Linked DNA regions of Zea mays. The protein of the gene in region 1 interacts with the protein of each later gene in a pairwise test. Links are inferred from orthologs where the notes say so. Each region holds a gene or a part of one and is shown on either strand. Other genes may lie near its edges. The genes, in order: Protein TIFY 6b and protein YABBY 4.

Region 1 (4,395 bases):
ACCATTGAGAGCAATTTTTTTCATTTCATACATTTTTATTGGTCATTTCGATGCAACATTTAATTGACATTTTAGCATGTAAAATCATGAACTAAAACTTTTGCATGTTTTATTCTTTTTTCATCTCATTCTTGATGGTGCGCAATATTAAGAATAACACAATGAAACTCTTATTTGGAGTAGCCTTAGGCTATTCCTAACCCACTATTTCTTATCACGATATACAACTTGCCAAATCATATGTTGCTATACAAGATATAGTTGTCCTAATTATAATATCATCTGATGTTCAATAGTCTTACAGGATTATTAAATGTTAGATGTATACAAGAGTATGAATCGTGCCTGAGCGACATCTCTATTAAAATCTTTATTCTCTTTCCTCTTTACTCACATGTCACATCAGCTTTTCATTCTACCTGGCATATAGCCATATACTAAATGAGTAAGATACCATTAATCCAAACACATTAATAGTTGTATTAGAGATACGAAATTAAAATTAAGGGTATGTTTATATCTCTAGTGCTAAAGTTTAGCGGCTGCTAAAATTTAGCATGTGCTAAACATTAGCACTTGAGGACTGTTTGGATAAAGTGCTAAACTTTATCAACTGCGGCGGCCAATGGTGGGAGAGTGAAAGGGGTAATCCATGCAAAATAGGATTGGAGACTATTTTTAGCATAGTTTTATCATCTTTGGTTGAGCTAAAGTGCTAATATATGCTAAACTTTAGCACAACACTTTTTGTCACATGTTTGTTTCTTTAGCGTCTAAACTTCAGAAGAAAAAAATATAGTGCTAAAGTTTAACGAGAAAACAAACGGTCCTAAAACAAGGTTAAAATGTAAAAAGTTCGGTGGCCTCGTGAATCGTGGTCCGGAGCAGAACTCACGTGGGACCCGTTCCCCGCGCAGAGAATCCCGAGGCCCCACCGCGGGAGCCACTGGCCGCCCACCACGGTTCACCTCGTGCGCTCTCCTTCCCGGACACGTGTCGTCCTATCAACGACCCGCCCACCGCGTCTGAGCCACGCTGGACGCTCGGTCGCCGCACACTCTTCCACCGACATGCGGGGTTCCATTCCTCTCCGCCCAAAATGTCAGTGGCGTTCGACGTAACCAGGCAGAGTGCAGCAGGAAGGACGTTGTGTCGTACCACGTGGGGGACTCGACCGGGGGAACCGGTAAACGTGGCGCGGGCCCCGCCGAGAACGACGCGAGCGATCCGGTCACCGCGGCCCGGGCCCGCTGGCCCCTAGTCGCCACGCGAACCACTCCTTTATTTCTTTTGTTTCCTACTCCTATTTTTAATTATTTTTTTGTTTCCTAATGCCCTCGTTTTCAATTAAAAAGTGAAGCGCAAGCCATTAAACAAACACAAATAGCACACACGGGCACACGGCAGGCCTACAACTACAAGAGGAGAGGAGAAGAGAGAGGAGAATTTTCAATGCTGCCGCGCACCGTCATCACTAGCTAGTGGAGGGGCGGACGAGAAGGCGAGGAGCTGAGGGGAGAGAGGCTTCACAGAGCTTGCTTGAGCCTGGAGGGGGCTGCCGCTGTTTGTCTCTCCACTCCACCCACCAGCAGTTACCTCGGGAGGGCATGGCAAAATCTGGTGCCTCCTTTCCGGAGTCCAGTTGGATGGAGAGGGATTTCCTGGCCGCGATCGGCAAGGAGCAGCAGCACCCGCACAAGGAGGAGGCAGGCGCGGAGGAATCTGGTATGCTCCCGGCCTCCTTTCGCCGCCTGCCGCGCTGCGTTTCTTGATCTGTGCCCGCACCGAGCCGTGCCCTAGTTTCTTGCCGTGCTGGGGTTGGGTTCGCTCCATTCGGTGCGGCGAGATGCGGCATGGGTGCGCTGCGAAATTCAAGCGTCCCTTTCCTCTCTCTCTCTCTTTTCTCTGTGTGTGTTTTGTTGCTGATTACTTTATCTTCGCAACAAAGAGTGTGGGCTTGCTTGGCTGGCATGCCTGCCGAATTCCTTTTGACGGCCGGCCTGCCGTGTACGCTCGATTGTGGGGAGAGTTAATACGTGAAGAAAGCGACGATGTTTCCGGGAGAGGCTGGCCGAGCCTTTCGGACAGCCGCGCGTGTCGTTAGTTGATTTCGAGCTGCTAGTAGTCTGATCGCTCGTGTGGGATGGGGATGGTTAACGGATCCATCTCTGGGTTCTTGCTTTGCTGTGTGTATTTATGTGCCGGCGTCTGATTGTCAGAGGCATGTGTGCAATCTCTCTCCCCAGCTTACTTCGGCGGAGCAGGAGCAGCAGCAGCAGCCCCGGCAATGGACTGGTCCTTCGCTAGCAAGCCCGGCGCCGCCCCGGCGTTGATGTCGTTCCGGTCAGCTTCGTTCCCCCAGTTCTCCTCCTTCGACGGCGCCAAGAACCCGGCCCCTCGTATCCTCACGCACCAGGTTTGCGCGGCTGCCCTTCTTGGTTCTGGTCCATGTCAGCTTCCGAGTTTTTACTGATACATCTAGGTCCCTTTTCGGGCCTCTGATGATGCTTTTGCAGAGGTCGTTCGGCCCCGACAGCACGCACTACGCCGCCGCGCACCGCACGCAGCATGCGCTGAACGGGGCTAGAGTCACTCCGGTCTCGTCGCCGTTCAACCAGAACAGTCCGATGTTCAGGGTCCAGAGCTCGCCTAGCCTTCCGAACGGTACTGCGTTCAAGCAGCCGCCTTTTGCCATCAACAACAACGCTGCGGCCAGTTCTACTGTTGGTTTCTATGGAACAAGGTACTCCTGGTTTATCTGCTGTTACCACAGTGACTTATAAAAGTGGCTGTGGAATTAGTATCGACTGAAACATTGCTTGTTTTGCCTGTGAAGGGATGTGGTGAGGCCAAAGACAGCACAATTGACGATCTTCTATGCTGGTTCTGTCAACGTATTCGACAACGTCTCAGCTGAGAAGGTATAATTTCTCATGGCCTTTCCATTTTGATGCTAATTTGCTTTGCATTTAAGCTCCTTCATTGACATTTTCCGTTCCACAGGCTCAGGAGCTCATGCTCTTAGCCAGCAGAGGGTCTCTTCCAAGCTCAGCCCCCGTGGCCCGTAAGCCAGAAGCTCCTATTCTCGCTCCAGCAAAAGTCACAGCGCCTGAGGTTTTGCATGCAACACAGATGCTGTTTCAAAAACCACAACACGTTTCTCCACCTTCGTCTGCCATCTCCAAACCAATCCCTGGCATCTTGCAAGCTGCAAGTCTCCCCAGGAGCGCCTCGAGCTCTAACCTTGACTCCCCATTTCCAAAATCTTCAGTGCCATTTCCTGTTTCTCCTGTAAGTCAGGCTCCGAGAGCTCAGCCTGCAACCATTGCCGCTACAACTGCAGCAGCAATAATGCCTAGAGGTACCGTTGGCTGTTTATGGTTTGCATAGCACCAACTGGCTATCATTGGAGTATTCAGTAATTCTGGTTGCTCATTTGTTGTATTGAAATTGTCATTGTCTGTTGCAGCTGTCCCTCAAGCTAGAAAGGCGTCCCTTGCTCGATTCTTGGAGAAAAGAAAGGAAAGGTAGAATCCATATTCTTGCTCCCAATGTCCTAAAAACAGGGCATTGGTTTCCGAGTGCATCGCAGCACCTTAATTCCTTACGACATATTTGCATTTGCGTTCCAAAGCTGGTTCTGATCTGTGTATACTTCTCTTGCAGGGTGACAACTGCTGCACCTTACCCATCAGCCAAGAGCCCGATGGAGAGCAGTGACACGTTTGGCAGTGGGAGCGCCAACGACAAGTCATCATGCACAGACATTGCCCTCTCAAGCAACCATGAGGAGTCCCTATGTTTAGGGCAGCCCAGGAACATCAGCTTCATCCAAGAGTCCCCCAGTACAAAACTACAGATCTGATCTGAATATCTGATCATGCCCAATGTTCATAGATTTGTCCAGGCTGACTGATGCAAGGACCATACGATACTTTTGCATTCAGGCAAGGACTCGAGAGGAAGAGATTACGTATGTTATCGGTGCCGCTAGCTGTTGTTTATGATGATGTTTTGTTGTGCTAGTTTACTGTGATGCTGGTGGTGCCCCCACCTAACTAACAAGAGAGCTGTCACTTGCAGACTCTTGATTTTTTTTTGTCCTAGCGCCATTTCTTTAGCGGTATCAAGTCAATTTATATAGGCTTACAAATTCTGCGCCTTTTGTATGGCCAAAGTGTAATATTTTTGTTCTTGTATTATGAACCTCCATGCTGCAGAATGCAAGAGCAAATCTTATTGTCGATGGTGTTCTCATTGCCAGCATGTGTACGCAGTAGCGGTTCATGTTGTTTTGAGCTGTTCTGTTTTAATAATATCTCAAAAGGTTGCCGATTGGTGCCCGTAAGGATGACATTTCAAGAACAGATGGGCAGCAGTCGTTGCAAGGTTTTG
Region 2 (4,479 bases), on another chromosome or scaffold:
ACAGAAACATAAGTATTATACATAAGTTCTGAAGTCTAAAACAATGGCTCATGGAGGTGGGCGGTTTGGCCGGGGTTGCGTTGGGCTGAACCCTTCCGGAGGGTTGTTGGATGCCGCCCCAGATTGGCCCTGCACAGAGAAGAGATAGCATGTGTTATACCAGATGCATTACAAACATCTAACTACAATTTTGATACTCACAGGAGTGTGGAAGAGAGTAGGGTCAACTGGGGGGAACAATGGAGGTGGCGGAGCGATGCCCTGTGCGGCGCTAAGGCTCTGCATGTAGCATGTACTGGAACATCTCCCAACATCGAGTTGTTTTCGAGACCAAATTTAATTTTGCGCCGGCCGGTCGTTACACCATAGTATATCTTACGTTTACAGTTCGCATGTAGAGATTCCCGACCGGAAACAGATGACCGGCACGCATACAGGGTTACAGTCTGTACACTACCTTTAGGGTAGGAAGTACGTACATATATACCTGGTCTCTCGGCCCCATTTAAGCCTTGGTTCCACCGTACCCATGCCGAGGAAAATCGAGCCAGACCACGGTCAGGCTTTTGTCTTGCGAAAACGCGAAGAAAAGAAGCACGCCGCACGCGTACCAGAGCCCTTCTCGCGCCGGACCGGTCAGATCGGCCGTGCTGGCCTGCGCGGCTACACGACGCGCGCGTCCAGGCACATTGATGAGAAGTATATATACAAGTACGTACGTACGTACAAAGGGAACGTGCGCGCGTGCGTACATGACACCCACGTACTATGGTGCCTGCACCTCACCTCACCTCACCTCTTGCGCGCGGCCGGAGAGCAGCAGAGAGGGGAGACCGCGCGCATCGATCGTGGCACAGGTTGGGGGGGCCGGACGATCCCCACCACTCGTCCCGCTTTTCCAGTCGGCAACAGTCTCGAGATGCCGACCGCCGGTGCAGACAAGCTAGGGGCCGGGGGGAGGTAGCGTGCTGCCTGCTTTGCCCCCGTCACATGTACCAACGGCTCCACGCTCGCTTTCCCTTTGTCCAGGGGCCATATATCCACCGCGCTGTCCGCGGTCCACACACCCCATGCCTTGCCTCCTCCTCCTGCCTGCCTGCCTGCCTTTCCCTCGCCGCTCGCGGCAAGATCCACATGCAGTAGTAGGAGTAGGAGCAGCAAGCAACAAGGGAGGGAGGGAGCGAGGTCTTGGGCTCTCTCTTGTTAGTTCCTGCGTGCTTGCCCTGCCCTGGATCGGCTTTCAAATCGGGAACAACGACAGATCCGAGGCTTTCTCGAATCGGGCAGGTCCATCAAATCGCAAGTTTAGCCAGCCCCAGCCCCAGCCCCAGCCCCAGGCACAGCCAGCTAGCCGTCAAATCACTCACACTCATCAAATCAAAGGGGACCAAAAGGATATCTCCTGGCTCCTGCCCCTCTCCCCTCTCCTAGCTACTCGTCGTATAAAATTCCCCTTTCGACTCTCCCCCCTCCCCACACACACCTGACTCTCCTCCATCCCCTCCTCCGATCTCTCACCACGCTCCTCTTCTGCTACCTTGCTTTCCCTGCTGCGATCCGTTCCTTGCCCTATTAGTATTAGCTAGCCGGCCGGCCGGATCGATCGAGCAAGGAGGGGCGCCCCAGCAGTCCTCGTCGGATCGATCCATCTCGTCGACAGCGTCAGCGCCTCAGGTGGATCGGAGCGGAGGTGGTGGACCGGAGCTAGTAGCTGCCAGCCACACATTTCGGTCGTCGGAACCACATATCATGATGTCGTCCTCGTCCTCGTCCTCGTCGTCGGCCGCCTGCTGCTTCCCGCTGGACCACCTCGCGCCGTCCCCCACCGAGCAGCTCTGCTACGTGCACTGCAACTGCTGCGACACCATCCTCGCCGTACGTGCATGCGGCGCCCCACTCTCACCTATACCGACACTCGCACACACCAGCTAGCCTCTCCCACTTCTTCTTCTAGCTAGCGCAGCAGCCAGCAGCGCACGCAGTGTTGACTGATTCGTCTCTCTTCGATCTCTATATGCATGCGCGCGCAGGTCGGCGTGCCTTGCAGCAGCCTGTTCAAGACGGTGACGGTGCGTTGTGGCCACTGCGCCAACCTACTCTCCGTCAACCTCCGCGGCCTCCTGCTCCCGCCCGCCGCGCCGGCGCCGCCCAACCATCTCAACTTCGCTCACTCCTTGCTGTCACCCACATCCCCGCATGGCCTCTTGGTATGTAACTATGGACCAAAACCCATCCAGCTCGTTCGTTCAACTAGTTTAACATGCATGCACTTTAACCTGCTAGTGCATGTTTAGTTTCGTCGTCCCTAGTTAGCCTCTTCATATACCACTGAGATCAGTCAGTGTGTGTGTGTGACTTGCTTGCTTGCTTGCGCGCAGGACGAGTTGGCTCTCCAGCAGGCGCCGAGCTTCCTGATGGAGCAGGCGAGTGCCAACCTGAGCAGCACCATGACGGGCCGCAGCAGCAACAGCAGCTGCGCCAGCAACCTGCCGCCGCCGGCGCCGATGCCTGCAGCTCAGCCTGTGCAGCAGGAAGCCGAACTGCCCAAGACCGCCCCGTCGGTAAACAGGCGTAAGGACTTCTTGTTCTTTCTGTTTCCAATCTTTGGATCCCCCATCTCTCTCTCTCTCTCTCTCTCTCTCTCTCTCTCTCTCTCTCTCTCTCTTCTGTTTTTTATTACTTTCTGCTTTACTTTTCCGAACCAAGGGTATTTATCACTGCACTAATCAAAGACCCAAAGCCATTATATTGGCGTGATGCGGATGGGGATGAACTCAGGAAAGTGTCTGAAGAGGATGAGTAGGGGCAAGCAGATCACCGTTTGTCGTGCTGGAACAATAACAACAACTTGATTTGTGCATAAATAGAACTGGATGCATGGACGACGACACAATCCCATCCTAGCTTATTATTTCGTGCAGTGTTAGGATAAATTACATATATATATGGGTTTACAAGGTTATAATAGATTACATGAGCATTTTTCACCGCGTCCAGGGAACATATATATATGGATTTGTATAAAAAAAGGGGGACCTTATCAGGGTCGATGGATGGCCTAGCTAGCGAGACATACAATCATGTCATGTTATAGCCAGAGGTTGCCCATATCCATCGCTCTTCAGTTGCAAACAGTCGGCATGCATAGTGTAGTAGTTGCTGCTAGCTCTAGATAGATAAGCGTACCCATTCGCCCATGTTCCCTACGGATGCATGTATGCTGACTCAAATCTACCCTACAAAATCTAACTTCGCAGCTCCGGAGAAGCGGCAGAGAGTCCCGTCGGCATACAACCGGTTCATCAAGTAAGATTTTGTGATAAAAGTCTCTCTGTGCATGCATTTTCCCCCTTTAAAAACCCTTGTTTGTATACTCTCATATTCACCTCATCCATATGTATTGAAGTGGATTAGAGCGTAAATTAGTTTAAGTTTCAGCTCAAGACATATGGATTGAGATGAACTATAAATACGAGAGTATCCAAACGAGATCAGATAGCTCTAGTATAGTATGCGCCACTCTCTGCATGCTCATCGTCTTCTTGCTAGTAAATGTGTGCTGCTGGCTGCGTGCACACAGGGACGAGATCCAGCGCATCAAGGCCGGCAACCCGGACATCACCCACCGGGAGGCGTTCAGCGCAGCCGCAAAGAATGTAACTTTCTTTCGTCTTCTTCTCCAGACGCATATATGCACAGCAGTGACAACTACTCGTGGCTAGCTTGCTGTCTGCGTGTCTTGTGATTTGACCCATCACTTTACAATGTCAGCATGGACACAGCGACACCTAGTGTCTGGTGCTGGCTGCTTGCGCCTGGTGTGGTCTGTGGCTAGCTTGCTGCCCCACCGGCACAGCGTCGTACAGACGATACAGCTAGCGTTCGTTTTCAGTATTTGCTTCCAAGTACTCGGTCGGTCGTACGTACCCTACTAATGTTGCATTGCCTTTCTCTGATTTGTGTTCATAATCAGTGGGCCCATTTCCCACACATCCACTTCGGCCTCATGCCGGACCAGGGCCTCAAGAAGACCTTCAAGACTCATCAGGTATCAGAGCTGACACTGAAACCCTAATAACTCGATGTATATTTTGTATGCCTTGAAATCCTCACTTGACACTTTGACGGAGTTCAGGTCATCCAGCAGCAACACTATATTACCACATGCTTCTTTTAAGTTTTTTTTTTATTATTCGAAGTTTTGTAGTACTTTGTAAGCACGCACCGTACCCCGGCCGGCCTCTAAAATTTTGGCTGGTTCCTGGGCTGTGACATACAGGATGGCGCTGAAGACATGCTACTCAAAGACGATCTCTACGCCGCAGCGGCTGCAGCTGCAGCAGCCAACATGGGCATCACTCCATTCTAATAACTCTGGTTAGGCATGTGTTCTGAATCAGCTGGCACGTCGTAGTGGCTATCGCCCTTTGTGCTGCATTCTAGGGTTTCGTCTCAGATCTTGATCTCAACATCGATCGT

What was found.
Region 2: the proteins of Protein TIFY 6b (region 1) and protein YABBY 4 interact in binary tests that used the Arabidopsis thaliana proteins (3 or more experiments, as listed by UniProt). The link is inferred for Zea mays from reciprocal best matches to the Arabidopsis thaliana genes JAZ3 and AFO.

The regions. Positions count from the first base shown.
Region 1 is NC_050102.1:113,400,356-113,404,750, reverse strand, and holds Protein TIFY 6b, read left to right. Parts: upstream 1-1,329; 5' UTR 1,330-1,607; coding exon 1,608-1,725; intron 1,726-2,246; coding exon 2,247-2,416; intron 2,417-2,516; coding exon 2,517-2,743; intron 2,744-2,836; coding exon 2,837-2,921; intron 2,922-3,003; coding exon 3,004-3,361; intron 3,362-3,469; coding exon 3,470-3,527; intron 3,528-3,666; coding exon 3,667-3,865; 3' UTR 3,866-4,386; downstream 4,387-4,395. UniProt on the Arabidopsis thaliana protein: Repressor of jasmonate responses. Jasmonoyl-isoleucine (JA-Ile) specifically promotes COI1-TIFY6B/JAZ3 interaction. Acts as a negative regulator of MYC2 function. Feed-back regulated by MYC2.
Region 2 is NC_050100.1:193,315,508-193,319,986, reverse strand, and holds the start of protein YABBY 4, read left to right. Parts: upstream 1-1,511; 5' UTR 1,512-1,749; coding exon 1,750-1,875; intron 1,876-2,030; coding exon 2,031-2,207; intron 2,208-2,378; coding exon 2,379-2,571; intron 2,572-3,257; coding exon 3,258-3,306; intron 3,307-3,580; coding exon 3,581-3,656; intron 3,657-3,973; coding exon 3,974-4,048; intron 4,049-4,277; coding exon of another isoform or gene 4,278-4,279; coding exon 4,280-4,369; 3' UTR 4,370-4,479.